4 linked regions of the Tamandua tetradactyla genome follow. The protein of the gene in region 3 purifies or fractionates together with the protein of the main gene of each other region. This does not show direct contact. Links are inferred from orthologs where the notes say so. Each region holds a gene or a part of one and is shown on either strand. Other genes may lie near its edges.

Region 1 (7,864 bases), on a different chromosome or scaffold from region 3:
CCAATCTGTCTGCCTTGTACATACACGTGTCCAGGTTCACAAGAGTTTGATCTTCTTCTTCATCTTTTGCCTCTTCTTCGGCTGGTGGTGGAGACTTTGAGCTATACATATGAGAGAAAAGCAAATACAATGTAACCAAAGCCCTCTTCTTTGAGGGGTGTCTGCATGACATCATGTTCATTTTGAACTATCAATAATTATAAAATCCCAGCAGACAGCTTTTTTTCAACAATGAGAGAAGGCAACAGGAGCTTCAATTTCGTAAAATCAATCTAAAATTTATGCCTATAAAAACCTATTCCATTTTTAATCCACCCCTCCTTCCAGACTCTCTAATCAACATCAGGTATAGCGATATCAGAGCAGACACTCCCTTCAATGAAAGGGACTGTTTCCCTCACCGGCTGTGGTAAGCCTCCTCTCGGAATTCATAGTAAGCTCGGCCATGTTCATCCTTCTCATCCCGCTGTCTCTTTACCCCCCGCCGCTCACCATCTGAGCCTGCTGGTTTTGACTTTTCACTATCTTGGTCATCTCCTACAAAAAGGAGGGAAAGAAAATCAGCAGCTTTCAAACTGGAGAGTAGAATAAGCTCAGAACCAATAAAAACTAAAGGAGGGGGTTTGAATATTTCAAAATAAAAAGTTGGAAAAAAAAAACCCACAAAAACTAGAAGGGGGATCTGATTATGTGTCTAATCAGAATAGCCAGGTTATTCCCACTGCACATACAGAACATTTTATTTCCAAAGATCATCTTCCTGTCATTGGCTGGGATTTTATTTAAAATATAAAATAGAACACATTGGACATTATGCGCTAATTACAGCAAGCGTAGATAAAAACTGGACAATTTTTGCATTCTAAATTTAACTGCTTAAATCAGGTCAAACGTGCAGATTTTCCCATCAACATGACATAAAAGTCTTTTTTTAAAAAAGTTACAGGTTAATTTAATTTTGACTGACTGTCAAATTTAAACTAGGCATTTAATATATATTTTTCAATACTTCCCCACAGCTCCATGAAAATAGAAACACCTAATGCTTTAAAAGTTTGCCTTTCAATTTTTAAAATGCATAGCCATGGTTATGCAGCAAATGGACTCAAGTGCATGGTACAAAGCAGCATTTTTTATCGTGGATCTTTACTGAAAGTTGCAAAAGGAAACCATTAAGTCACAAGAGACCCATAAATAATACTGCATCCCTCTGCACAAAATTTGGGGCAGAAAGGTGTTGTATATTTAGCAACATTCTTTATAAGAAGAAAACACCTGGAATTTTTCCTACTGCACAAAATTTGGGGCAGAAAGGTGTTGTATATTTAGCAACATTCTTTATAAGAAGAAAACACCTGGAATTTTCCCTTAGGTTTTTGTATTTTACGACACTAAAAAAGTTTTTAATAATTGATTAAAAGCACTGCTTTAGTCCTCAACATTTTTTATCTGCTATCTGGGATACACATAAGTCAGAGGTTATGTAATGGGGTTTTCGTTCCAGGACATACGACAAACAACCTGCAAGTTGCAAGTGATTGTTGTAGAGTGGATTCCAATTATACAATACTCAGGAGTAACCCCCTAAAAATGTATTGTAAGAAGAACTAAGGCAACCCACTTAATTTTAAGACTCTAGTTTTCCTTCCTTACTCTGACAGAAACTGATATGGATGGATCAGCCCTAATCATGAAATCACTTCAAAACTAGGGAGAAAGGTCACAAACGCCCTGGGGTGACTCCACTACCGAATTCTCTTCTACAGGGTTACTCAAGGGACCCACCAGCACCTCAATCATTTCAATTCCGGAAGTCAGGGGCCTGAAATTTAAGAGCTCGGGCAAGTGTACAGCAGATCTACAAATATGCCCATCCAGTGAATCAGTGGGAAGATGAACATTGAAAAAATAACAATGCAAGCAAGGAAAATACCTTAGCCAAGCAAAGTGAACTAACATATTCTCAATGTACCAAGTTAATACTTTCTCTTCAGTAGTTAACTATTAAACCCAAACACTTTCAGACTAGAAGCTCTCTCTGCTGCTCAAGCAGGAGCAAGATTGGATTTCCCCGATTCTCTGGGTGGCTCAACCTCTAGTAACGGGCTTTTGGTGGACAGGGCTTTGACTGATTTAGTGTATTGCTTGATATTTTTACGGGGAAAAGGAAGCCCCCAAACCTAAATAGCCAGATAGCCCAAAGACCTAAGCCTCCAACTGTCGGTCTGGCTGTCCGTGTCACCAATTTCTCATCGCTCAAGGCTTTGGAAAACATAACCAGAACCGCGGGAGACCGCTCCACAGGTAGCTCACAAGCAGTTCGCATGCAAAAATCACTCTCTGCCATCCACCACCGTCAAAGAAACAAGTTAGGTAGGAATCTCCCTCCTGTTGAGAGCAGGGCCACCAGAGGCAGCCAAAATCTCTCAGAACGGCGGGTAGAGGATGAAAGTCACCTCCCCTGGGAAGTCCCAGCAAAAGGCGACTGGAATCTTGTACTTTCAGGCAAGTAAGAACAAGAGATCGGATCCCGCCACGCAGGGCGCGGTGCGGGTTCACGGGCGCACGGGGCAGCTCGGAGCCGGGCTCCGCTGCCAGCTCCTCACCCTGTTCCTCCGCGGCCTTGTCACCCGGCGCCTCGGATCCCGGCGTCTCGTCCCCGCTCCGCTCCTCGGGTTCGTCTTCCTCCCCTTTGCTGGTGCCCTGCTCTTCGCCACCATTTACCCCACCTGACCCTGCCGTGGCCTCCGCCGGCTTCTCGGAAGCTTCGGGCTCGGCCGCGGCCTCCATGGCTGCGGCCTCCATGGCTGCCTCCTCCGGGGGCTCCGGCGGCGGCTGCGCGGCCTGACCCGAGGCCTTGGCAGGGGGTGGTTCTTCGTCCTCGTCCTCAAGCAGCGCCTCCTCGTCCTCCTCGTCCTCCTCCTCGTCCTCCTCCTCCTCTTCGTCCTCCTCCTCGTCTCCACCCGGGCCGCCGCCCGACGCGGCCACAGGCCGAGGCTCCGCCTTGCAGGCCCCACCGGGCCCGGCCCCGCCACCGCCAGTCTCGTCCTCGAGCATCTCGGCGTCCAGCGCCTCCTGCAGCCGCTGCGCCAGATCCACCTTGAGGCCGCGCGAGTCCAGGCCCCGCCGCTGCAGCTCCGACCGCAGCTCGGTCACTTTCAGCCGCTTCACCTCCATCGCCGCCGCCGCCTCCTCCGCCTCCCGCCGCCTCCTCCCCTGCGAACCGTCGACCGAACCCGACCGCGCAGGCGCTGCCGCCGCCCGCCTCCGCCTCACGCGCCAGCACTGAGCCCGCGCGAGCGAGCGAGCGCACGCACGCAGCGCAGGCCGCGCGCAACCTCCGCTACGTCGTGTTGGCCTCGCCTTCCCTCCCCCTCCCCCCCTCGCCCCACCGAGCTCCAAACAACGCGATGGGGAGCTCCTTCCCTTCTTCCCGCCCCTCGCTGTCCCCTACCGCGGCCACGCCCCTCCCTCCTCCTCCCGCTCCCTTCACCTCGCTGCCCGTGGTTTTACTGCGCAGCCGCGCCGGAGCCTGAGACTGGAAGGGTTGACTGCGGCTCAAGTGCTTCGTAGCACGGAAGCGCTTGCGCGCCCGTCTCTCCGTACTTCCAGCCGAGGGCTCTGCGCAGCCTCCCGGAGTCCCTGGTCATACGCCCCTCCCTCCCTCTCACTGCCCTTACTCCCGTCTGACTTCCATTTGCAGCCCTGCACTGTCGTTTTAGAGCTTGCTCGTGTGTCTGGTTCTTCCCCAGTGTTTATGCATGCAGCAGCTTCTTAAGAGTGGAACAAAGTATCGTTCTCCACTTGCTAAAGAAAAAGCTATAAGGGAAGTTTGTTTTTCTAATTATTAAACTAAAAGGGCGCTACAGAACCAAGCAGTACAGAAACCCCTGAGCCTCCTCTTCTTTCAAGGCCTCGACTTCTGCCTAGCAGCAAACACCCTGGCCCCGCCTTTCTTCTCTCCTATTGGCCTGCTTGAATCGTCATCTTTAGTTCTGATTGGTCAGCCGTGGGCCTGGGTTTTCCCAATTGGTGGAGCTGCCGGGGGACTTTTTCGGGTTGGTCCGTAGGGGGAGGCTTGAGAGGCGGGGTCGTCTCGGCGGATTACTTTTCCGGGGCCGCTTCTGATTGGGCGCCGAGGCGCAATGCGCGCGACTCTTGCGACAGGAAACTGTCCGGGGACTAACTCGTTCCTCGCCGTGCTCCCGGCCAGTCAACTGAAGTCCAAGAGCAGACTTTCGGGCTTGGGTCTTAGCAGAGGACGAGGCGCTGGCCGCGAAGCGTGCTGGGCTGGCGACTGAGGTGCACTGCGGCCGGCCTAGCCTTGGGCCGGGTGTCGGTTGGCACCGGCCTCATTCACCGTCGCTTGCTCAGCTCAGAGCCCAGGCACCAACAGATGACTGTACTGGCAGATAAAGGACTGGGAGGGAGGAAAATCCCCTCTGCTTTTTTATTTTTAGCAGTTGTCTCCGCCTACTCCCTTCCACTTCCAGGTCAGGGAGGTGTGTCCAAAACAAAGGAGGACGCAAATTCAATTGGTTTTCACACTCCTTAGGGCCTGTGCTTTTGAGGGGGAAATCTCCTCGATTGCAGATCACCCTGTTTAGGGAATCACTTCATCTTTGGCTTTCTTACTCCCACATCCTCTCCCTAAATAGTTTCCCGCATTTGTGGGGCTTGAGAAAATCTGCAGAGAGGAGAGGAAAGGGCTGCAGTAGAAACTAGGCAAAGGTCCCCTCCCGGGGCCTGGTGGGCGGGGTGAGGGGGCTGCCTGAATAAGGGTAATTTCCTGGCTTCTTAAATCGGGAGCTAAAATCAGTTACTTTCCTCCCATCCCCAGAGCCTTCAGTTGCTCTTTCGCTTTCCAATTCCCCAGGAGTCCAGGGCGACGAGGAATTATGGAGAAGCGGCTGCAGGAGGCTCAGCTGTACAAGGAGGAGGGAAACCAGCGCTACCGGGAAGGAAAGTACCGAGATGCCGTGAGTAGGTACCATCGAGCCCTGCTTCAGTTGCGGGGTCTGGATCCGAGTCTGCCCTCCCCGATACCTGATCTGGGACCTCAGGGCCCGACCCTCACACCTGAACAAGAAAGCATCCTGCAGAGCACCCAAACAGACTGCTACAACAATCTAGCTGGTAAGAAGAGGGCTGGAGAATGGTTGCAGAGTATCCGCACACTGTCAGGCACGTGAAACTCTGTTAACGTCGGGAACAACAGTGACATGCTTTTTTTTGCACTGTCACCCAATGATTCTGGCGTGAGTTTGAAACTTATTTCCGATCCGTTAGGGCTCTGATTAGTTTCTTTAGAGCAGGGCTTCTCAAACTTCATCTAGAGAGTTGATTAAAACATAAGGGCAGAGATTCCCATTTAGTGGGTGTGAGGCTGGTCTTGTGAATTTGTTTCTAAAAAGCTTCCAGATGATGCTGGTGGGCCTTCGACCCTACAGTAACTAAGCTTTAGAGAATTTTGAGTGCTCTGGAGAAAATACCAAATTTATGCTAGGGCTTTGTTTCTCTAAGGAAAATTTGATATTTGGGAAAGAAGCCACTTCAGTTGGTGGTGTAAGCCATCTGTTTTCGGTAACTTTTTTTCGTTTTCCTCCTTCCCATAAATCAGCTAGATGGTAACTTGAATTACTGGTAACTTCTATCTCTCTTTTTTTCTTTTGGGGTGCATGGTCCAGGAATCGAACCTGGGTCTCTCGCATGAAGGCGAGCATTCTACCATTGAAACTTCTATCTCTTTTAAATCAGTAAAACTGTTATATTAGAGAAATAGCTTTTCACAGATTCCCAGATAGGTGTTGGCTTGCCTGTAATGTCTTAAGGACCCTTGGGGGCACTTTTGTTTGAGGCTTTGCAATACTGAGACAATTTGTGAAATGTGGCTGAGACCTGCCTAAGAGTAACCTCCAGAATGACCTCTGTACTGTGTTTGAAGTCTCTTAGCCATACAGTTCTATTTTATTTAAATTTCCGCCTTTTGATCCAGGTCCTTCTCCAAAAGCATTGCTGATTAACACTTGGTAATAATCCCTTAGCACCAGGGAGGCTTATCCCTGGGAGTCATGTCCCCTGTAGGTGGATGGTAAAGTATAATATTTACAGGAGAGAGGCCAGACTTGCAAAGCATTTTTAAAAATGTGCCTGTTATATATTCCTCCCACTTAGGGACTAGGATGCAGGTTCTATTTAATCAGCAGGTTGTCTCTGGTTCCTCTTATTCCCCATTCCTGGCTGTGTGCCTGGGCATGGTCAATGATCATAATTAGCTGTGAAATGAATAAAGCGAGGGTGATGGATTAGTTGACCACTAGGGAAATAGCTAAGTACAAACCATGTGACCACTTGGTGGGGATGTTGTGGTAGGGATACAAATATAAGTCCAGGCCCTTGATTGTTCTTATCAGCCCTGCTTCTCAATCTTCTCAGCCCCATGATTAAGTAATACTGTAATTTCAAATAGAAAATACATTTCCCTTCTTAATACAAGGGAAGAACATTGTCTTGAACATTGCCACCTAAGCAGTTTTGTATTTCGAGGTCCCATTAAATCATCCGAGGGGAGAGCGAAGCAATATATCAACATTGAGAATGATGGTGATCTTGAAGTTAGAGAGTCCTTGGTTCAAATTTCAGACTCTACCTAGAAGCTGTGGGAGCTTGAACAAGTTTCTTTAACTCTCCGAGCCTCAGATTTTTATCCTTTAAGTGGAGATGGAAATGTTGCTTCCTATTGCAACGGAGCTCGAAGGATATTAAGGAATGATGAGAAAAAAAAGAAAGGAAGAAAGAGAAAGACACAAATGGGCTCAGGGGGTCTGAAGCTTGAGTTTACTTCAGACAGACTTCAGACAGTTTTATTCTTAACCAGATCCTGGTTATATACCATAGGATGTCAATAGGCATGCATGCATTTCCTGAGGGAGCAAAGTTCTTATCTTTCAGTGTTCTTCATACTTAACATAACCATTTGGGGTAAACATTCTCTTCCTCCCAGACTGCTCTACATAACAGTCTCCACAGTTTACTGCCGCCATCCTGAAGCCAGCTGCTTCCAACAAATTCTGCAGGTCTTGTTTTAAACCCTTGGCTTCTACATGGAAACACATATTTTATAGGGTTGAGCAGTGAATAAGGTAGTACTTGCCAAGCACAAAGCACAGTGCTTGCTTATTTTCTCACACAGTTAATGGCGCCTGTTGCTAGCAGAGCTGCAGTACAAGAACTGTGGCGAAATGGGGGATTCAGGCCAAAGAGGCTTGGGAACAATAGACACAATGAGCGTTTTAAATACATTTTAAAGAGCATTCTGGCCTGTTTTATAGCTGCGCCTAACATAACGCTAGGTATGTAGTATGCATCCGGTAAATATTGAAGCAGACGTAAGGAATGGAAAGCTTCTATTCGCTGCTGCGTTCCCAGTGCCTAGAAGTATGCTGGCACATGATAGACACACTCCAGTGTTTGTTGCATGAGTGAATGCTGTTGGTATCATCCTATGTTGGGTATGGCCTTGAGCTGTTTGGTGGAATTTAGTATAATGAGGCCTTCCTTCCTCTTCTCTCATTTTTCATTTGGCTCCATTAGCCTGCCTCCTTCAAATGGAGCCAGTGAACTATGAACGAGTGAAAGAATACAGTCAGAAAGTCCTGGAACGACGGCCTGATAATGCCAAGGCCTTGTACCGGGCTGGAGTGGCTTTTTACCACCTGCAGGACTATGACCAGGCGCGGCACTACCTCACAGCTGCCAGCAACAGACAGCCAAAAGGTAAGAGAGAAGGGGCCCGACGTAGAAAGGACAATATAAAATTGTCCTTGGTTCAAATTTCAGATTCGACCTAGAAGCTGTGGGATCT
Region 2 (7,551 bases), on a different chromosome or scaffold from region 3:
TAAACCACAAAAAATGCATAATTCTTTAAGACAAAGTAAAATAGCACGGTCAAACTGCCAAAGCAAACACAATAAATGGTACTCCACTAGTGGCTTAAATCAAATCTGTTTTCTCCATAGAAAAATGTGCATTAAAAAAAGAGAAAATACAACAATATGGAAAATATTCAACCACAAAAGCAATGCCAATTAAACCACAAGATAGCAATTTTCCTTAATTGAAACTATTTGTGGAATAATGATTTCTGATGATAATAACCACTGCTTATAATGATCTCTTAAAGCAATGTAGCAAGACGAGTCATAAATACTTTTTCCCTCAGTCCAAAACTAGATATTTAACATGCTAAGATTTTAGATACTAAATTTTGAAGTAAACTATATAAAACTATTATTCATAATGCCTAGCTAATTATAAAAACACAAAAACTACTGAAAACAGGTAAAAGGGAAAAGTAAATTGTTAAATATTCAGTGACTAGACTGATTTATTCATTATACACGATAATCATAAGGACTGCTTAATGAAATGAAGAAACATTAGTGAAAGACATTTCTAAGAAGAGTAAACAGAAATTGAATTAGCTCACCAACATGACTGAAACTAACCAGCTTTTAAAAAAAAAGACAAATGGATACAATGACTGAAAGAAAAGTCAACCTAATGCTGTGGTTCAAAAACATAAATACAGAAAGTCTTTAATTTATCTTCCCATCTTTCTTTATTTATTGCCTGCTTTAGATCAAAACATAAAACAAAAGTTACCAATTGTTAAAATATCTTACCTATCCACTTAGCTGTACAAAAGTCTTTAGCATAATTCCTAGACCTGACCTTTTTACACAGGAAACTCTACCTTGTAAATATATCATCAACAGTACCACCATCCCCACTGGCACCACTGTGGTGTTTTATTCCTTGACCTATATCTCTAAAGCAGCAGTCAGTCAACTTTTCCTTTGAAAGGACAGGTGGTATTTTAGGTTTTTAGCCCTTCTCTGCCATTCAATATCTGTGGCAATTACTCAAATCTGGTATAACAGTGTCAATGAATATAGAGGCCACACATAAATGAATGGGCATGGATGTATACCAATATTTTACTTACAAAAAAGCAATGTATCAGAGAGTTTGCAGACCCTTTGCTCTAAAGTGATACTAATAACTAGCACTGTTTAGGTAGATGAGCCATGGAGACTAAAACAAATTCTGATCATCAAAAAAATTAGACAGTCCTCCTTGCAGATTATAATATATGATTTAAATAATATTACACTAATTTAACAGGCGATGTGAATGAATGTAACTGAGGAACGAAAAAGTATCTGAGTGTGCCATATGCTCCAGCCAATTTCACTTCTAGGTACATACCCAAGAAAATTGAAGATATTTGTATATCAATGTTCACAGAAACCTTACTCACAATAGCCAACAGTTAGAAGCAAACCTGTATCTGTCAACATGTGAAAAGATAAATAAAATGTGGTATACATATAAAATGTAGTATTATTCCACCATAAAAAGCAATGAAGATCTAATACATACTACAGCATGTATTAGAAACTTTAAGACATCACGTTGTGTGAAAGAAGCTAGACACAAAAAAATAAAATAAATAAATAAGGTATACTTTCACTTACATGACATACCTTATTAAGCAAATTTACTGAATGGTGAGTAAATTAGGCTACAAGGAGCTAGGTGAGGGGAAATAGGGAGTTACTGCTTAATGGGTCCAAAGTCTGTTTTGGGTAAAGAGAAAGTTGTGGGAATGGATGGTGGTGATGGTAGCATGATGTTTAGAAAGGAATAGTTATCACTGACTTATTCACATGAAAGTGGATAAAATGAGAAATTTTGTGTTGTATGTTTCCACAACAAAATTTTTTTTAAAATGTCTATCTATACCAATGCACTGAAAAAAGCCCTTACTCTGAGGAACAGGTGGACAATTATCAAAAACCATTATCTCCTTGCAACCCAAGTCCATGAAATTACTGGAAAATATTATGGAAAAGAATCAGCAAGGCAGGACTATCCATGCTAGAAAATTTGTTTGTCTCCTTAAATTTAAAACTATTAAGTGGTGGCCAGAAACAGGGCCAAATAATTGTAGCATATCAAAAACAAAAAAGTAGTTTATCAAAAACAAAAAGAAAAAGTCTTGAAAATCACTAACCCCTACCTTCCCTTCTCCCATTTTCTTCTATTAAACCCTATGGAATAAGAACATTCTAATAAAAGAGAATTACAAAGGAAAAAAACAAAGCACTTTACTAATCTCAAATTTTGAGTAACTCTTTCCTAATAATGTAAGCAATCAACATAAAAAGACAGACTGTAAATAAATCTACATCACATTGAAAAATCATAGATAGTATTTTATTACATTGTCTGCTGATGGAAATACATTGGTGAAGAGAGAAAGTAATAAAAAGACAAAACAATAAACAGGGACTAATTAGTAAATAAGCATGGAAACATATTAAGCTTCTCTAAAATTCATTGCTAATGAATGTGAAATATATTTATAACTCAGCAAGCATAAATGATATTGTAATTAAAATCAATGCTTGTGAGAAGTGTATTGTGATTGGTACTCTCACAATTTTTAAAACTATGATACTAATATAGTATTTCATAATGTAAGTTAGAACCTGTACCATAAGTTCATATAACCTGATCCAATTTATTTTCACAACTGCATATATGAATAAATGATCTTATCTAAATGCAAAGCTCTTCACTGGCGATTTTTTAAAACTATCAGCAGAAAAAAAATGAAGTCGCCCACAAAAGGGAATCATAAAATATTCACTAGCAAGATATTCAAAAAAAAACCACTTCTAATAAAATATTTAATTTAATATTAACTTAATAATCAATACAGCAAAAATAAAGGTAAAACTACACAAAAAATACTCATGTACTATAAAGACTACTGGGCAATAGAGAAAAATGACAAAAGTATCAGGGCAGGAATATTAGGGCCTGATTTTACTTTTCAAACATTCTGCAATGAGCATAATTATGATATGAAATTTTTTAGGAAAAAGAATCTTTTTTCTTTTCTTTTACCTTTCCCAGACAATACAGAGAACCCCAAATATCCTATTCTTTAATGGTTTAGTTATACCTTATATCATTACTACATCAGCTCTAACCTGGGTTTCACTTGAATCAGCTCTCTCGATGTTCCAATAGTGCTTTAACCACCTCTTGGTGTCTCAGCTAAGAATGCCTGTCTCAGTTCAGCCTGGAAATCCACCACAGGTACTTGCTGCTGCTGGGATCGCCTCTGGTACAACTGACACCTGGACAAGAGCAGGTTATATACATATTCATAAGTGATAGGGAGATAAGTATCTATATGGATGACATTAAGAAAGAAAAAAATAGAGACCCTTACATTTAAGGAAATCCTAATTTAGGGTCAGAGATTTCCATTACCTTTTTCTTTTTACTGCATGGGCAGGCACCGGGAATTGAACCTGGAAACCCGGGTCTCCAGCATGGCAGGCAAGAACTGTGCCTGCTAAACCACCATGGCCTGCCCTCTATTACTTTTTGAAGAAACTATAAAACAGGAAACAGGTAGGAGCCTGAACAAGACGATGGTCAAGGAACTAAGGGATAAACCCAGGGAACTACAAAACCAAGACCTGCTTTAGGCTTATAAAGTCTCATAAGAACATCATAGGTACCACAACCATCATTCACTTTTGCTTTCTAAACGTCTTATCTGGGAACATCCTTTATCACCTGATTGAGGGGTATCTGTTTGTTTGTTTTCAGGGAGCAGTAAATAAGCTATTCTCTGTAAACCATTAAGGATATTATCCATGCTGAACCTCCTGAGAAGTTACTGCCTAAAATAAAGAACTGCCAGGGTCAAGGTTGTTTAACAGCTCTCAAACTATGTAAGGCAACCATCTACTAGTAAAGCAGGGAATCCCAGAGAAAATTTCTTAACATATTTCCTATCTGGCTTCAATTTCATCTTGTGGTTAGGTAGATGTGAAGAAAGTTACAAATTGTGTTGGCTAATGAGAAAAGCCTGAAAACAGTCATCAGAATACTACATCATATCCCTCACCCCACTATGATTCTTCAAACATTCATTAAAGGGTACAACAGACTACTATTTGTAACTAGTGGGAACAAAAATCACATTGAAAATAGAAAGTCTTCTAAAATTTTAATATTTGTATTTCCAAAAGTCAGGGATTAACTAAAATTACAAAAAGGCTTACATAAATGATGGAAACTGTCTTTGTTATATAAGGGACTCAATTACATCTGTGATAATCTAACAATTTATAGAAAACCAGGTACAAGTCAGAACCACTACAAATTGTAGGATTATTACTAAATTATAGTTATTTTCTCCAAAGTACAAAAACAATTTTTTGTTGCTGATCTTTTCTTCTATCTTGTCCCACCTCTGATACAATATAAAGGAGGTAATATGCCCTTCCCTAATATCTTTCCAGTCAACTGTGATATTACTGTAAGAAACCTTACAGTCCCTGTTACGGTCGATTGACTTGTATCTTTAAGTGCAGATAAGGACCTACCTATCCCAAGAACAAGAACCAATAAAGTACACCGAACAGAATTTTCTCCTTTTGAACACATCCATCTCGAAATAAAGCAAACTAAATTAATACATGGGATTTTTAATACATGAAGCTAGGCTTCTTCTTCAGGGCTCTAGTCACCTTATGTGTCTATACAAAACATGAACTGACCTTGAATGACAGCTATGTGCAAGGGAGACAGAAATGGTCCTGCGCCAAGAGACCGTGCTATGGCAGAAGGCAGAAGGAGATGCAAACACAATAACAATTTGAAAAAATCATCTGCTAACAACTACATTTCCCAAATTTCTCAAGCCATGATTTTAAAATATTTTTCTAATTCCTAGAAAGGACATTTTAATCTTCAATACAATTAAACAACAATACATTTACCAAAATATTTAATCTGATAGTTCAACAGTAAGAAAAGTAAAAAAAAACTGGAAATATGTATCTAACAGGAAAATTGATTTTTATTTTTTAAATCCTTCATTTTATATATATATAGAAAACATCCAAGAAAACAATTGACAAAGGCATAACTTACATTGGAGGAAAACAGAAATAGTATTAAACCAAGTACATACAGGAGAAATATCATAAAGGTATGCTTTATCAACACAAAAATCAAATTAGTAAAATAAACAATTTAATAATATCTGGTCCTGATGTCATTAAAATTATTAGGAAAACACTATACCACTTAAAAGTATGCAGCAAGGGCCACAAAATATTTTAATTGAGCCAATAACTGAATCTGAAATAAATCAGATATTATACACATAAACACACAGAAGTTGGCCTCTAAATATAGGGAATTCTGGCCTTAATGAGATTACAATACTGTATTAAAAAGGCACTGCTTTAAAAGTCTTTCTTTAATGATAAAACATAATATACATGAAACTATTCAGAAGCAGCTGGGTGTGGAAATGGGACTTGGATAATAAATTTTTCCAATTTTCTCTGTAGTTTATCTTTTCACATTTTACTCTATTTAAAACATCACATTCCAATCACTGTATTTTTAAGTCTTTATTTGGGCATTCTCAGTTCTACTTCCTTTGTTATCAAATGGCAATTAAATCTCTGACCTAACATGGCTCTAAAAAGCGTTTCAGATAAAACAATATGTTCCCTGAAACTTGACTTAAAAGACTATTTCCTATTGCAATTTCCCATTTGGGTTCAAGCTGCAATCCAAAAGACTAAGTGAAATCTAAGTAAGATGCAGCCTATATAGTATTTATGTCCTACAATGCAGAATATGAATTTGGAATGAGATTCAGAGGAGTGTAGATTCAGAAGCCTCCAAGCTCTAAATTTACAAGACGTCAAGAAACAGGAAAGAAACTGCAGCACCAAAGAACAAGAGCCTATTTGGTGATATATCTACTGAAAACAGAGCAACCATCATTTCCAGGAGAATAGATTGAACTTCTAATTCATATTCACTATTGATTGGGGAGATATTTTGTTGTGTCTTGGTTTGGCTTTTATTTCTTCAATTTTGCTTTGGGTTTTTTGGAAGGAATGAAAACTTGTTATAGATCCTTTAAAGCTAGTACCCACACAATTCCTCCAGGAAGACTGACATCCAATAATTAAAGTTTGGGAGAGGGTGCAAGATTGATGGATAACAATTAAAACACACAGCCATAACCATGAAGAGTCACCAAGAGATTCCTGAGCATATATATTAGGCAGGGTTTAGAGACTATCAATCCCAATTACTCATCCACAGATTATACAGATGGGAAAATTACACTACTTCCCTAACTCAGGTCATACTCACTCTTGGTTGCTCAATGAGGCTGTCCTTCTACGTTTGACTTGGACTTCTATCTCTGGCACGTGCTGTTCTGTAGTCCGTCTCAGGTGTAAGCGGTCCCTGAAATAGAAAAACAGGGATTTGTTTGCTAGAATTCATCAATTTATGAAACGATAATTTACTTAATTATACTTAGAACAATAATATATTCTAAATGTTTAAAGTGTTTGCAATCTAATTAAACACAAGACAAAATTTCAAAGGTCTTAATCAATTTACCAGGCAGGATCTGTCCTAAACCACTTTCTTTATCCCTTTAGTAGCCCTTTCACAGCACAACATACATACATGTAATATCACACTCCCCTACCAAGTATGCAATAGCTATTTCCAAAGATGGTTTAGAAAAAAAATATTATTTTAAAAATATATACATTTGTATTGTATGATATAAGCATAAAGTTTAATTTACTGAAGCAACCTCCTATGCAAGTGTTGCTTTGCTAGGATTTACAAAAGAAAATGGCTGCTCCAAGAGACTGAGAATGAAATCTTTCCCCTGGGTTTTCCACATTAGGAAGGAATTGCAGGATCTACTAATAAAACTGCAAACTAAAAATGCTAATCCAGGCAGATATGAAAAAATGGCATTTTGCAAAATGTCATGTAGCATAATAATTCAAAGGCAGAATTCAAAGGATATATTCTAAAAGCAAATTCTCTGAATCCTAGCTATTTTTTTAAAAAACTAAAATATAAGTCAGTTATTACTCTAGTTATTACTGACTGAAAAATCAAAGTAACTCAAATGGCTTAACTACCCTATGTTGTTTAACTGCTTCAAGAACTTCAAATATTTATATAAGTCATATGTAATAGATCTTTAAATGATAAAATTATATACATTGCTAATTTGTGACCTTGGATTATGCAACGGATTCTTAAATGACACACAAAGCACAAGAAACTGGAGAAAAATAGATAAATCTGACTTCTCAAAGTAAAGAAAAAATTTTCCCTCAAAGGACACTGTTAAGTGAAAAGACAATGGCAGAACTGGAGAAAATATTTGTGCATCATAGGATTAGATCCATTTCAAGAGTTTATGATCCAGAATATGTGAAGAATTATTATAACAAAAATAAAAAACAACCTAATTTAAAAGAAGGTAAACTATCTTGAATAGACATTTCTCCAGA
Region 3 (7,676 bases):
CCATCCCTTCAGGCGATTTCAGTAGGTTTGGGGACAGTGTCCATCCTAACCAAACCTCCTGGTGAACAGATGCACCAGTCCCCAAGGAGTGCTCACTGGTCTGGATTAGTGCTGGGACCAGGGCAGAAGGAGACTGCCTCTATCTTAGGGAAGAGATGACTGCAAACACGTTAAAGCCCCAAAGAGACCTCACCTTTCCCAGTTTAACGAGGGGACTGAGACACTCAGCAGCAGCAGTCACTTGCCAGTTAAGACCCTTTTCTTGAGGATCTGGTTTTTCTAGTGATGAGTTAACGCTCTGAAATCCCTCTGGGTCATAACCTTCCCCTGCCACATTCTCATTTAATCCCATCTCCGTACCTGGCCCCTAACCCAAGAGCCTTCGGACTCTTACCGTGACGAAGACAACGTTGTTGGGGAAGACTGACGTGTCTGCTCCATCCAGTGGCACCTGGGGTGCTGCAATGGGACCTCGGCTGGCTGTCAGCGAGGCCGGGAAGCAGCTCCTCTTTCGGATGGTAGTGGTCCCTTCCCCACCCTCTGCCTCTGGGTCACCCTCAGAAGTCTGGGGTGGGAGACGCAGCTCCTCAGACAGGTAGTGTCGGATGTTCTGGCGGGCAGAGTGGATGAGCCGGGCATCGATATCCAGGCCCACCATGCGGGATGGGCCCCACTTGCAGGCAATGCTCAGGGTCACATGGCCCACATTGCAGCCCAGATCGAGGACGTCCCGGCCCCGAAACCACTCGGGCTTCAACACTCGAAGACGCCCATCCTCACAGGAAGGATTGCGGTACCCATAGTACTTGCAATAATTCCCATACTGGAACTTGCGCTGTTGCTTTTTGAAGCCTGCTGCAGGTAGAGGGTGGTGGTGGTGGCGGCCTCCCCCACTCCCTCGGCCCTTTTCCTTGGGACCCTGGCCTCCACCCCTGGCCCCTGCCTCCGACTTGCTGGAAGTCCTGCGACGTTTGCGGTGTCGTGAGGAGGAAGACGGGGGTGCAGGGGTAACTGAGGCAGCTGGAGGGGCTGAAAGGGAGCCCGTGGGACCCTGTAGGGCACATGGAAGGGGAGACACGACCTCATCCCTGCAGTTGATGGCCGTGTTGAGTTCATAAGGTTGGGGGGCGTCCCGGTTCTGGCCTCTATGCTGCTGTGTGGTGCCCTCCCCCTGAAGTGAAGGAGTGAGGGGGGCTGTGGGCAGCACCGAGTGGTTATCGTTCCCTCCAGGTGCCTGCTGCTGCTGCTGATGGTGCTGTCCCCGGTGTCTATGCCGCTTCCGACCAGTCTTGAGTGGCGAAGCAAGAACTACGTGGGCCTCATCAGTGCAAGTATTGAGACTGAGTGGGTCAGTAATATCTTTGGGGATGAGGATCTCCACTGGATCTCGCCCCTTGGCCGGAAGTGGGGATGACTTGGGGGTCTCCGCATTGAGTTCTCGGCTCACTTCCTCATCCAGGAGACTATTCAGGTTCAGTGGGTCAAAGATATTGCCCCCCAGCAGGAAGTTGGAGGGCAATACAGAGTCACAGTCCGAATTGACCCGCCTGCGCCTCTTGAAGGCCGGATGTTTGAAGCCCCCACCACCTCCCCCTACATTACAGCTATTTCTCCTCTTGCCCCCACCCCCACCAGGGGGCCGGTGGGGCTGGTAGCCATTTCGAGGGCGAGGAGGGGCAGGGGGGCCCAGTTCTGTTCCGCCCCCTCCCCGTCGCTCCTCCCCCACGTCCGGGGCAGCGGCTCGCCCGTGGGGGTCCGACAAGCGGGCCTCCCCTTGCGGCTGCGCCTGGGGGCCGCCCCCTCGCTGCTGCTGTTGCTGGCCGCCTCGAGGAGTGGAGGCAGCCCCGGGGTTCTCCCTGCTGGCCCCAGAAGCCGGGGTCCCCGCCGAGTGTACGCGAGGTCCCGGCCCACGCTCCGTCCCGCGGCGGAGCTCCCCGGAGGCGGCCTCTCGGTGCTGCTGCACCGTGGGGCCGCCCCCTCCGCCCGACTCATCTTTGAGCGGCGGCGGTGGGGCCGGCACCAAAAACGGCTCCTTCTCCGCCGCCATCTCGATCATTTCCTCCCCTTATTCCGTCCCAGTCGAGGGTAACGAGGGGAATCCGGGGGCTTAACCCCCCTCCCTAAGCCTGCTCCCTTCCCCCCTTTCCCGAGTGCGCGCGCAGCTCTGCTCTTCTCGCCTAGTCTCGCGCCCAAGCGCCCCCCCTTCCCTGCGCCCAAGCGCGCCCCACTCGCCCGCGAGACCAAAACAAGATGCCCGCGAGACCCAGACAACTCGAGAAATCAACCGCGCGTGCGCCGACCCCTTTCTCCTCTACCACCACCACTCGATCGCGAGCGCGCACGGCCGAAGCGCGTTCCTCTCGCCCCGGAGCTACGCATGCGCACTACGCCACCACCCTGGTTGCGCGCGCATCAGAGTACGAACCAACTTAACGGCTCCGGGGAGTTTAAATATAGCCCCCCGCTCAACCCCCCAAAAGCCCACCACCCCAAACTGACACCCTACTTCCCTTCGCGGCTATGTCCGTCCCTACTGATATCCTTTGTCTCTGCCACGCGATCCCACCCACCGTAGGCGTGGGACGGGGAGCTGGTGTGAAAAGGTCTCCTTGACACCCGACCCTTGTTCCTGAGGAATGAGTCTCAGCGGTCTCCGCCCGGCTCTAATCCCAACAACCTCCCTACCCCGCCTCTTTCCTCCCCCTAGCGGGGAGCGCCTGCGCACACCCTTTTGGGCTTGCGCGGGTAGATGCAGCACGTGCTAGGGACGACGCCCCGCCCTCCGTCTTGTGGGCGGGAACTGCTACGTCGTTTCCTCAGGTTTGGTACGCGCAACGTGCGTCAGCACGATCCGGGAGGCGTGGCCTTTTGAGGAAAGGGGCGGGCTCATGAATTATTCATGACCTGGTCTCCCACCCCCTTTGCCCACCTACTTAGAAGGGCTTCCTAAGGGGCGGAGGGGTGAGCCTTGAAGTAGAGGAAGGGAAGGAGCGGAGCGTACTGACCGTCTTCCTGTACGAGCTGTTGTCAATAAAATGCAATAGGCCATTTTAACTCACCCCCCTCGAAAATAATCTGTTGAACTGAAAAGCAAACGACAACACTAAAACAGCCGATGTTTTCCAACTTCCTCTTCTTCCGAAGTGGCCAAGCCGGTCTCTGGTTCCTTCCGCCTTCTCTGATGGTGAGCACCTGGGGACACCACGCCCTCCTCCCCGCCTCCACAGCCACGGCCGGGAGACCCCAGCCTCCGCCCACCACTTGACGCCTGCGCACGAGCCCACCACCCCGCGGACTTCGGCCCCCGGCCGCCACCGCCACCTCGCACGCAGTCCTTCCCAAGCACACGCTCGGCTTCGCGCCGGCTTATATAAAACGTATGTGGGCGAGGAAGAGCTTTCAGCCGGCTTTGGGATCCCCCTACTGTGGCCAGTGGGGAAGAGGTTATTCCACTATTCTCCTTGCCTGAAGAGTGCTTGGGGATGCTCGTCCTGTGGTGGAGAAGAGGGCAGTAGAGGCGAAAGTGGGGCTAAGGATAATCTCAAATAAAGGCGTGAACGAGACTAAAAGGCCGATTAGGAATCGAGGGAAGAAAAAACTATCTGAGGCAGAGAGAAAAGCAAGGTAGTAAAAGAAAGATGTGTCAGGAAAAATCAGGCGCTACCCCTGCCGCCCAAGGAAAAGGCGAAGCCAACGAGGATTATGGGATTTGTAGTTTTGGTGGTCGTGGTGGATTCTGTTGGAAAATGGTGGCAATAACTCAACGGCGCAAGCGCAGTAGGTGCTTCCAGCAGCGCATGCGCCTCGGCCATGTGCTCACGCCTCTGGGGGTGGGGCTTATGCTTGTCCTCGCGCCTTTTCTTCGTGGCGGGAAAACTGGATCGAGGTTGGAGGGGTTTGCAGAATCCCTGCAATTGCCCGCTCTGCTCCTCGCCTTTAGGTCCTCCTCGTTCCAGAAGGTAGCTGTCTCTTTTCTGGTTGCAGATGAAATTGCTAGGCGCCCCCGATCCTGATACCTCTTCCCTGAAGAGAAATTTTCTCCTCAGGGCGTCAGGGCGACAACTAACTCTTACCCTTTCTCCTTAGAATCTCTCACCTCAAACCCAGCCCGAACGAACGAACAAAATTAACCCGGTATAATGGCAAACTACGGTCTTAGTGGGAATGAGGATGCTGATGATACCTCGGAGGGAGCTGAGGGGCCACCTCCCGTGGTGGGATTCTTGATCGGAAAAAGAGGCTCGAAAGCCACTATTAGCTTCTGAGGGAGGTCAAGGACATTTGACTGGGTGCGGTCCCTTAGAGAAATTGGTGAGGGAAGAGAGAGGGAAAATGCGGACGCCAGAGCTTTTCTCTTTGGTTTTAAAGGTGGAGTTAGGTGTTTATTGTGCCACACGTCGTGAGGGAAAAAGTGGGTTAGCATCTGGGAGTTCGACACAAAAATACTGGTTTGGAGTCGGTAACAGTTCGGGGCACGTCCGGAAGCCTTTTGGGGTATGGATGGTAAAATGAAGGAGACCAGCAGGCCCCAAGGAGAAGATTCTGTGTCTTGATAAATGGCCGTAACTTTGCACCTCCTTGCACTCCCTGAATTAAGAAGCTTCAGTTCACCGTTTATTTAGGAGTCTGAACTAGGTTTAGTTCAGGGAGCTGCTACTGGCTGTTAGGTCCAAGAGTAAATGTCTTGTGAAGTGGGGTAATAAGGGCAGTAAGGTGAGCTGGAATCTTTGTCGTTGGGTTTTCTTCTTTCTTTTTAAAAGGTTCACTTTAAATCGTGCTTGCTGAGCCCACGCATTCACACACATGTTGCACACAGTCACATACACTCAGAAGAAAGAGAAAAGAAAAGCTAGTATCTGTTCATCGTGGCTGGAAAATAAGCAGTAGTACACCTGTGGTTAGACATGCGCATCCAAAGGAAATCAGACTTAAGAGAAATTTTAAATGCAGTTGTTGTTTGAGGCTCTTGGAGTCTGTGTTAGAGGACAGTTCTAAAGGGTTGACTTTTGTTCTATTAGACCAAGGATTCACGGAATAATATCAGGAGGGAGAAATTCATGAGCACATTCTAAAGGGGGCTGGGGAGGTGGGTAGGGACCAGGAGACAGAAGGATTAATGTTTTAGGGAAATATGGGCAAGACTGAATGCAGTTGTTTAGTTAGATCAGTGCTAAGACGTTTTGATCTCTGAATCCTTTGATATTCTTCAAATTAGCGAGAACGCCAAAGATTTATGAGATTTATACCTATTGATGTTAACATATTAGACATTAAAGCAGAAAAAGTTAAAATATTTATTAATTTTGAAATAACAGTAATAAACCCATTACATGTTTACTCCTAAGTGACATTTCATTTTATTTTGGGGGGCAGAGGGGGTGGTGGTGCATGGGGTGAGAATCGAACGTGGGTGTCCCACATGCAGGCGAGCATTCTGCCACTGAACCAGCCCTGTGCCCCTGAGTAACGTTTTAAATGAAAATTTTATTTTCCAAAACAAAAAAAAACAGCATGAAGAATAGCATTGTTTAAATTTTTGCAAATCTCTTTCATGTCTGGCTAAATAGAAGGCAGTGGGATTCTCATGTTTCTGAATCCAATTTGTTGTGATATCTTGTTTTGGTTGAAGTATGTGAAGAAAATCCAGCCTAACACCGATAGGTAGTTGGAAAAAGGAGGACCTTGTGCATCTACTGAAAGAGACTTAGGGACCTCCAGGGGTCTTTGGCCCACAATTTGAGAACCACTAAACTAGGCGATTTCACCTCAGAGTGAATGTGTTGATTTTTAGTGTTCTAAGTGAAAGAAAACTTTCTGTTTTTTTTTTTGGAGAGCCTCATTCACCTTCCCTTGGTTCTCTTTATTATTTCTAAGTACTTTCTTTTCTCCTCCTTATTCACTCTTCTTTCTTATCTTGAGTAGGTCTGATTGAGTTTATTGACCTATCCTGGTTCCTTTACTTTTTTACTTTAAACCCTGTTGGACTTTTTTTTTTTTCCCCTCCCCTTCTCTCTCCTTTTCATAAGGTAGGAAAAGAAATTAAAATCTCAAATGTTATTCCTGCGTCTACAGCCCCCCACTCATTTAGTAGTTGGTCAAATGACAGTTGGTGGCATTTTACATATTTATTAACCATATATGGTATTTTTTCCCCTTTCTCAGAACTAGCTTCCAATATTCATTTTTGTGGAAGAAGATAATTCGTCTCTAACAGAGGAGTCGTGAGTGACTTGAGTTGTTAGGAAGTGATTTTCTGGCTTTCGGTTCTCTATTGATCAGGTTAGAGCTTTTCTTTAAAAGTAATGTTCCTCATCATATTCCCACACTACATTATAGGGAAGATATAGACTTACTATGTCTTATTAACTCAACCAGTGATCCACAATTTTATCTAGTTGGTTGGGGCTCCAAAAACACACTTGGCCTGTAATAGCTCTTATAGGTTTCGATCAGGATTTAAGTTTAACTATTGGAAAATTTTGCATTTTTAGGTTGATGAAAATACTCTTTTTATCTCATTTAAAGAATTAAAAATAAAAAAAATCATTTTAAGCGGTAATATGTATGTTATAAAATTCCAAAGATGCACAGAAGACTACATTGAAAAGGAAGTCTCCCTTTCACCTCTGCCCTCAATCATCCAGTTTCACTCCTCCGAGGCACTTTTATCAGGTCCTTATGTATTTTTCTAGACATAGTTTGTGAATATACAAGCATATTATGTAGAAATACATTTAAAAAATTAAATGTTATCTCGTACTTTTTTTTTTTTTTTTTTTGCCTCGAATAGCTCTCCTTATAATTCAGTTTTCCTTCACGGGGGCTTCTTAGGATCCTTTTTTGGAATTCTGGAGTCCAGGAGAAGATATGCTTGTCATTTGTGGTCAAATGAATATTCCTTTTGCAGCCTAACTTTATCTGGTTTCTAGCTTTTGTTTAGGATTAAAATAAAGGAGACCAATTTGCTGCAGTGTTTCTCCCCCAAATTCCCACTTGTCTTTTTTTCCTGGAGCATATACTTTTGGAGGTTGATAGTGATGAATTAAGATGGAAATTGTGAGAAAATTTGCTCTTTAATGTAAAGGAAAAGTTGCTATGCAATAGCACATCTGAATTATTCACATTTATAGACGTAAGAAAACAGACATAAAATGCCAAAGCTTAATTTAGACATACTTTGCATTTAGCCATGCTGTGGCCACATTTTGTCAAGTCTATATAAAACACCTTTTGAGTTCATCTTGGGATCTAAAGGGAGGAATCCTACACCTTGAACAATCCAGTGTTCATTCTAGCACGGCCATTTCAGGGTCCTAAAATTCTCAGATCCTTTAAAGGGAAGTGTATATGAACACAAGGATCCATCTTAAGCTGCTTTGGGATCTCTTTATAAGGGGAGAGTTACAAGAGTGAGTTTCAGGTGTAGTGCTTTCAAAATGCTCAAAACCAGCAGTCAGAAAGGCGTTCACTGAAAAGGATATAGATATGTTATTAGTAGGATTTAGAGACAAAAAGCCTGAATTCATCTTGGCTCTACCATGTATTAACACTGAGACTTTGGGGAAACTTCTTAACCTCTCTTTGCGTATTTTTTATCTGTAAAAAGATGAGATGAACTTTATGAGTTCTAAAGGCCCTTGTGGAACTTTTATGCTTGTTTTAATTGTTTCAAAAAT
Region 4 (7,249 bases), on a different chromosome or scaffold from region 3:
TTTATACATATTGTAGAGATCCAAGGCCCAGGCCCCCCACTCCATATTAAGAATAAGTTATTGCTCCTTTTATCTACCATATCAATAGAAGAGTAGAACATATGGAATAAAAATAAATAATAGGGGGAACAAATGTTAAAATAAATTTAGTTTGAAATGCTAGTGATAAATGAAAGCAAGGGGTAAGGGGTATGGTAGGTATAATCTTTTTTTTCTCTGTTATTATTTTATTTCTTTTTCTGTTGTCTTTTTATTTCTTTTTCTAAAGCGATGCAAATGTTCTAAGAAATGAATATGCAACTATGTGATATTAAGAATTACTGATTATATATGTAGAATGGAATGATATCTTAATGTTTTGTTTGTTCTTAATTTTTTTAAATTAATTAATTAAAAAAAGATAAAAAAAAAAAGAATAAGTTATTACATGTAGCCACCTAAAATGACCAGGACAGAATTAAAGTTCATAAGATTTCCTGGGAGTGGGGTAGGTGGAAGAAGAGTTTGAGATAAAATTTGAATAAATTAACTAAGCCTCAGTGTTTTATTCTTTTTTATTTTAAAAAATGGCAATGATGATAACAATGAGTCTAACTTATTTCAAGTAGTGGTGTTGTGAAGCCACATGCTGGTTTGAGAGAGCGGCTTGTTAAATTTTTAGGAATTTTGAGAGCTGATTATTAAGTCACTATTAAAAATTAAATTATATAAATTTACAAATGAGTATTTTACCTTATATATTAAAACTGAATTAATTATATTAAAAACAAAGGTAATAGATACTCACACTCACTGCTTCCTGGTTATTTTATTAAATTTTGCTATTATCTATGCTTGTGAAGTTATTTACATCTTTTGTATCTATATGGAAAAATATGTTTAATGGTGTGCACATCTTTTCCAACTCCATGATCAGTGATGTCACATTGATTGCTTGAGATCAACCATGGTGGGAGAATTTACAAAAAACAAGGGCTTAATTTACTACTGGCTTGACTTAAAATGATAGAAAAATATTAATAAAGCATATTAAATTTAAGTGTTTTATGTCTGTACTGTTATATTGCTACAAGCACAAAAAACTAAAGAAACATTCTTCCAGTATTAAAAACTATTATCCAGTTCAGCAAATAAGTTTCTCAAGTCACTGACAAATTAATGAAGTTGACATAAATCATTATTTCACTTTCATCTCACTGATTAATGTAAATGAATATATCAACCAACATTTACACTACACTCATCAATTGCAACCATGGTTTCATTTCATATTTGCTACCAAACTGTGATTCAAGAGTTTGACAAAAGTCAACAAAAGCATCCTGTGAGAATTAGATGTGTATTGGAAATTTGCAATGAAGAATATCGTATACTTTATTTTTTATAAATTGTGTGCTGCACATCTTTATATCAGTAAAAGTTACAATAAACTTGTATGCATATTGTAGAGACCCAGGGTGCAGGCCTTCCCCCCCTCCATATTAAGAATAGGTTACTAGGGTACACGGGTAGTTCAGTGGTTAGAATGCCCACCTTTCATGCGGGAGACCCGGGTTCGATTTCCGGACCATGCACTCCCCCCCCAAAAAATAAATAAGTTACTGCACGTAGCTGCCTACAATGACTGGGACAGAACTTAAAGTTCAGTGATCTTCGGGGGTGGAGTGGGGACGGGGGGTGTGTGGAAGAACAATGGTATTGTAAACCAAAGCACTGATCATTGTTGACAACAAATCTCCAAGCTCCTGGTTCATCAGACCCTGTTGAAACTGTTCTTATAAACCCTTGCACTCTTTGTGGAGTTCTTCCATTTCCTGACTAGCCATCACTGGGAAGAATCTTCTGCTTGTAAGTTCTAATAAAATTCACGTCTAACTCTGTGCCCGATGTGTCCTTCTGTCTTCAGGCAGCCCTGATCCAAACCCTCCAAAAGCTGGCTTGGAACATGTATATACACATACACATTTTTTTTCTGGTTAGCTAATTAATCATTTGCCAGCACATAGACACCATGGATGACCTCACTGAATGTGGCATTGGGAAGATATGGGCAATAACACACCAACTTTTCAAATGAGACTATATGAATTTTGGGGAGAAACTGTTTTAACAGTAGTAAATGGTAATGTTTGACACAACTAAAATTTCTCATTTTTAAGCACACTGGAAAATAGGATGAAACGGTGACATATGCTATAATCCTGTAACCACCAAGATTAGCTTAGTGAATAGGAAGAATAGTCCTATAGGTGTGATTTTCAGGAAACAGAGTCTTGACAATAAACATATATTAACACCTACTCTATGCCAGATGGTAATGTCAGAATGAAGAGGTGACACTGGAGATTACACAACTACTTAAAAGAAGAGCTGAGATTTGAATCCAAGCTGAACTAAAAACCTTCTGTTAGCGATTTAACTATCGCTGTTTCCTACTTTCAAATAATTACATCTTCAGTCTAAAAATATTTCCTTTCTCTGATTTACAGAGGTCTCCCTCTTTAGTGAGGCAGGGTAGCAAGTCATTAGTTAGTAGCTGCATTGCCTGACACCTGACAGATAAGGGAACTTTTCCCTGAAAGAATGGTACACTTAAGCAGGAGAGCAAATTCAAAGCATTCATTAAAATAGATTCGGTGGAGAATCAAATACAGGTCAGAGACCTATGTAAGAGTGATGAGAGAAATACTGTTGGTGGTTTCAAAGACAATACACATGACTAAACAACTAAAAAAGTGCTTATTAAAAAAAAAAAGCCTGTGATGGAAGCTTGAAATCATAAACTTTTAAATGTTATAATCGGAAGTAAATCATTTAAATCTTCCTGACCCTCCATTTCTCTGAAGTAAAATGGAACTAATAATAACTGTAGGAAGTATGTGGCAGAGGGAGCCTGAAATGGAAGGAAATACTTCTGAGAATGAATTATAATCAAACATACTGAGGACAGCAGCTGCTGCATCTAGAAGTGATGGGAAACCCCAAATAATACAAACACAAGACAAAGAATTCTAATACTGTACAAATTTAATTAAGGTAAATTCAGTATGGTTCCAGAAAAGCAGGAGCACATGAGGCAGTTTGCCAGAACTAGGGAATTAGACTTGATTTTAAAATCTACACTTATTAACTCTGTGGTGCAGAGCAAACTCCTTGATATCTTCGAGCCGTTTATTGTAGAGTGTTGTGAACATTTATTTGACAAAGATTTATTGACTACAGAGTTGGAGTAGTTAATGGGGATACAAAAAAATAAAAGGCATGATCCTTCCCTCTAATAATTTCAATACAACATAATAAATACTACAGTAACAATGATAGCAACATCTATTGAATGTTTCCTTTCTGTCAGGTATCATCAAAAGTGGTTTTCAATGCATTTAATCTTCACTTAATCCTCAAAATTTAAATCGTAGGTTGTATATAATTTCCATTTTATAGAAGAGGCTCAGAGGATCGAACAGCTATCAAGCCTTGAAACTGTGATATATCTTGACAAAGCGCAGGAACTTAAAAATTTGTGCTTGTGCGGTGTGATGGAAGCGTACGAGGCTGAAAGAGCATCTTTAGTTTACCTGCTTTGCAAAACAGAGATTAAAATATTACTAACTCTTGTGGTTGCGCCGATTACAGTGTCTTCTTAGTTCCGGATCACCTTGTAAAGCTGCTTTTAAGATAGGCTGTATTATCTTACATTGCTACCAACAAAGTAAAAGCTTTGCAGATGCTTTATGTTTTGATATATGACAGGGCCACTCTCTTTGATTCTTTTTTTTTCTTCAGTTTTTTGACTGTCTCACCTATTGTTCTTCATCTCCATCTATTCCATTTTATATCTTCTTGTCCGCAAGAAAGCAAGTTATCTGAAAAACCGCCCAAGCGCGCACCAGTAGACCCCAGATAACGCCACAACTGTTGCGCTGCGGCGTAGTCCCGAGCGCGATCGCTCAGCCGTGTTCTCGCAGTAAGAGACGTGATTTTGAACGAAAACTCTTAACTCCACCCTTCGTCCCAAAGGTCACATGACGGGCGCCTGCGTTCTAGACCCAAGGTCTTTGCTGATCATCTACTGGCTGTTAATTCAGCTACGGGGTGTCAAGAGGTCCGTTCCGGAAGTAGATCTTTTGACTGTCACTCAATGCGGAAGCGTCCCAACCTAGCTGTCGACCCCTGGCGGAAGTTCGTCACATCGCAGTTGTTTCTGCACAGCGGATGTGTGTCGCCGCTTAGGTGACGCTGGGAAGTACTTGCAGCCTCCGCCGCTGCCTTCTGGTTGAAGCACTATGGAGGGAGAGAGGAAGAACAACAACAAACGGTGGTATTTTACTCGAGAACAGCTTGAAAATAGCCCATCCCGTCGTTCTGGCCTGGACTCTGATAGAGAACTTTCTTATCGCCAGCAAGCGGCCAATCTGCTCCAGATCATGGGGCAGCGTCTTAACGTGTATCCTTTTGGACTAGGCCTTCGGCCTTAGAGTGGGTCCCGCCATGCTCCGGCATCCAGGCCTCAGTACCTGTCAGGCACGGAAGGGGGAAGAGGGTGGACAGAGGCTGGATGTCTAGGTTGGAGAGCCCACAATTGGGCAGGTTGAAATTCAGTGTTCGCGCTGGGTAGCTAGGCGGAGTTAATTTCCCGCTTTCTCACGCGTGCCGCCGACCTTGCTGGGAATTCGTATCCTTCCCGGCTTTGTGTTTTAATCAATCCTTTGTGGTCTCTCTTCAGCTATTCTGACTTCCTACTCTGACGGCTTTGAGATTTTCCTTTTCCGCTATACCTGGGTGTCTGGGAGGTTTGACTGTTTTGATGGCTGCCTCCCAAACAGGGTGTAAAGAAAGTTTTGAAAAGTTCAAAACCCGAAGGTCTTTGTAGGGTGTCCTGGAACTAATGTCTCCAACGGCTTAGGTTTAAATTCCGATCCACTCATTTACTAGCTGTTTAAATAGCCTATCGATTTCTTGGTTTACTTCTCTGTAAAATGGGTTGATAACTTGGATTTGCTTCAGAATAATGCTCGTGTTTTGTGGAATTTTTAAGGAAGAAATGATGTCGGTTTAGATTTGTAGGAGTGTATACCTAAAATCTGATGTTTTTAAAAATCATTTGAAAAATATTGGGTTCTTCTTAAGTTACGTAAGTGCTAATGTGTATTTGCTTTCATTCTCAAAGTTGAAGTAATTTTAGTGTTTTTTTCCCACTTGTTTTTGTTTGTTAGGAAATAAACTGTTTGTGTCAGAGAAAACTAATACAGGTTCCTTCTAGTCTGTGCATATGAGAAATTATTGTTAGGTTGCAGCCTCTGTGAAATACTGTGATGCTGGCCGTAATGTTTGTGCCTTAAGATGATGCTTCAGTTTGAAAGAGGTGTTCTCCTTTATTATTGCAGATAACCAATTTACATCCCAAGCGTCCAGTCAGTAATGAGTTGTCTTTTTCTTTGAAATTTTGTTTCAGCGCATTCTTAAAACTTTTTGTATCCATTTTGTTTTTAAGGTTGTTCCCAGCAGGGTACTGCATTATCTCTGTCTACCCAACATTGCTTTCTGAGGTTTTTAGAAGAAATGCATTTTAAAATATTTCCCTTCAGTGAATGATTATCAAACGATTCCAGTGTTTCTACCATGTGAGAAGGCTTCTTGGCAGAGACCAGAGGAACTGAAATGTAGCTTAGAAGTTGAGATACTGGAGAAGTATCCAGGGGCCAGATCTAGGAGGGCCTTGTAAATCACATGAAAGAAATATTGAGCTAATGGGTCACTTTTGCAGTAGGCAAGTGACGGAAGGGTTTAGATCATAAATAGTTTTGTTTATGTCTCATTTTGGTCCAGACTTCCTGAGAAACTCATTTGTTAATTCATTTTGTTTAAGACAGTGTTCAGTATCAATTGGCCATTAGTAATTTGATGCAAGAAAACAGATCTGCTCTTTAATTTGGAGAGGTAAGTGTAAGATTTTTAAGTGGTCTCTTTGGAAGGTGATAAAGGTTGTATTGTAGGGAATTGCTGCCTGCCTGTTTTTGGGCCTTAACTTGAACACTTCAGCTCACAACTGACCATCAACACTGCTATAGTATATATGCATCGATTCTACATGATTCAGTCCTTTACACAGTTTCATCGAAATGCAAGTATAATTTTTAATATGGTATTGTCCTTTTGTGAATGATTTCAAATGTTTGACTTATTCATAGAGTGTGAATTGTGATCTCTTTTATGCTATGGGGAGAGAATCTGTGAAGCAAGATATTGTTCCGGTAATGTAAGGTATTGGTAGAATGGGTGTTGGAGGAACTGTACAGGCAGTCCTTTGAATTTGTGAATTAAATATTCCTGAATTCTGCTGAGTATCCAGTCAGATTGGATCCCTCCTTCCTCTAGCCATTCCATACCTCTGATTGCAAGAAGCAAACCTTTATTAAGGGAGAAGTCAGCATTTTAGCACTAAATATAAACTATCTGATAGAGCCAGAATGAAAGGTTGTGGGTGAAGAGAGAAATTTGAAGAGGAATTACATAATGCATAGTTGTCTTGCAAGTTCTGAAAATATTTTACAGTAAGAAGTATATATATATATATATTATGATATAGATTTGGAATCTGGGAGAAAGAAATCTCGTCAGTGTGTCCACCCTATACATGTGTTAATAATACTTCCCCTTACTTTTACCTTTTAAGCTAAATCTTCCTTCCTATATATATTAAGCTTAGCCAAGATAGACACTCATTTTTCTGAGTGTCCTCCAAATTACCTTCAGGTAACTTGTTGAGTGGATATATGATTGGTAATTATCCAATACAGAGATAATCTTTTGGTTGACCTTTTCCAAAATCCAGTGATACATTTAATTTGTAATTGTTTATCCCCCCTAGGAATCTATTTTAGATGTATTTTGGAATTAGATAAAAAGTATCACCCTTTTAATAAGTTAATTCTAAGGGTTTGGTTGTGATGAATCCGAATTCCAATTTGAATGGACTTAATGAATTGTTATAACACTGATATATTTATGTCCTGTTAAGCCCCAAGGCATTTATTTTCTTAGACAAAAAAATTTTTAAGTGACGCAAACACTTAATTGGCATGTTCTAGAATTCACAAATACATAATGGGTTCTCCATTTATAAATATGTTTCAAGTATAGTATTTTAAAAGTAATAAACTTTATTATTTTAGAACCATTTTAGGTTAACAGAAAAATTGCACAGGAAGTACAGAAAGCTCCTATATATACTTCCCACGTGCAGTTTCTT

Evidence for each region.
Region 1: the proteins of MEPCE (region 3) and HNRNPUL2 purify together in Homo sapiens (affinity purification with mass spectrometry; 3 studies listed by BioGRID and IntAct, with this or other methods). This does not show direct contact. The link is inferred for Tamandua tetradactyla from reciprocal best matches to the Homo sapiens genes MEPCE and HNRNPUL2.
Region 2: the proteins of MEPCE (region 3) and SNRPN purify together in Homo sapiens (affinity purification with mass spectrometry; 3 studies listed by BioGRID and IntAct, counting the BioPlex papers as one, with this or other methods). This does not show direct contact. The link is inferred for Tamandua tetradactyla from reciprocal best matches to the Homo sapiens genes MEPCE and SNRPN.
Region 4: the proteins of MEPCE (region 3) and CCNT1 purify together in Homo sapiens (affinity purification with mass spectrometry; 3 studies listed by BioGRID and IntAct, with this or other methods). This does not show direct contact. The link is inferred for Tamandua tetradactyla from reciprocal best matches to the Homo sapiens genes MEPCE and CCNT1.

What each region holds. Positions count from the first base shown.
Region 1 is NC_135335.1:11,864,494-11,872,357, reverse strand, and holds the start of HNRNPUL2 (heterogeneous nuclear ribonucleoprotein U-like protein 2), read right to left. Parts: upstream 3,235-7,864; 5' UTR 3,178-3,234; coding exon 2,607-3,177; intron 538-2,606; coding exon 402-537; intron 102-401; coding exon 25-101; intron 1-24. Other genes in the region: TTC9C (tetratricopeptide repeat protein 9C), read left to right, coding at 4,899-5,136, 7,594-7,776.
Region 2 is NC_135338.1:78,877,232-78,884,782, forward strand, and holds the start of SNRPN (small nuclear ribonucleoprotein-associated protein N), read right to left. Parts: upstream 3,210-7,551; 5' UTR 3,166-3,209; intron 1-3,165. Other genes in the region: SNURF protein, read right to left, coding at 3,210-3,315, 6,377-6,472.
Region 3 is NC_135349.1:8,541,967-8,549,642, reverse strand, and holds the start of MEPCE (7SK snRNA methylphosphate capping enzyme), read right to left. Parts: upstream 3,275-7,676; 5' UTR 2,057-3,274; coding exon 395-2,056; intron 1-394. UniProt on the Homo sapiens protein: S-adenosyl-L-methionine-dependent methyltransferase that adds a methylphosphate cap at the 5'-end of 7SK snRNA (7SK RNA), leading to stabilize it.
Region 4 is NC_135333.1:109,630,110-109,637,358, reverse strand, and holds the start of CCNT1 (cyclin-T1), read left to right. Parts: upstream 1-4,032; 5' UTR 4,033-4,283; coding exon 4,284-4,444; intron 4,445-6,039; coding exon 6,040-6,121; intron 6,122-7,249. UniProt on the Homo sapiens protein: Regulatory subunit of the cyclin-dependent kinase pair (CDK9/cyclin-T1) complex, also called positive transcription elongation factor B (P-TEFb), which facilitates the transition from abortive to productive elongation by phosphorylating the CTD (C-terminal domain) of the large subunit of RNA polymerase II (RNA Pol II).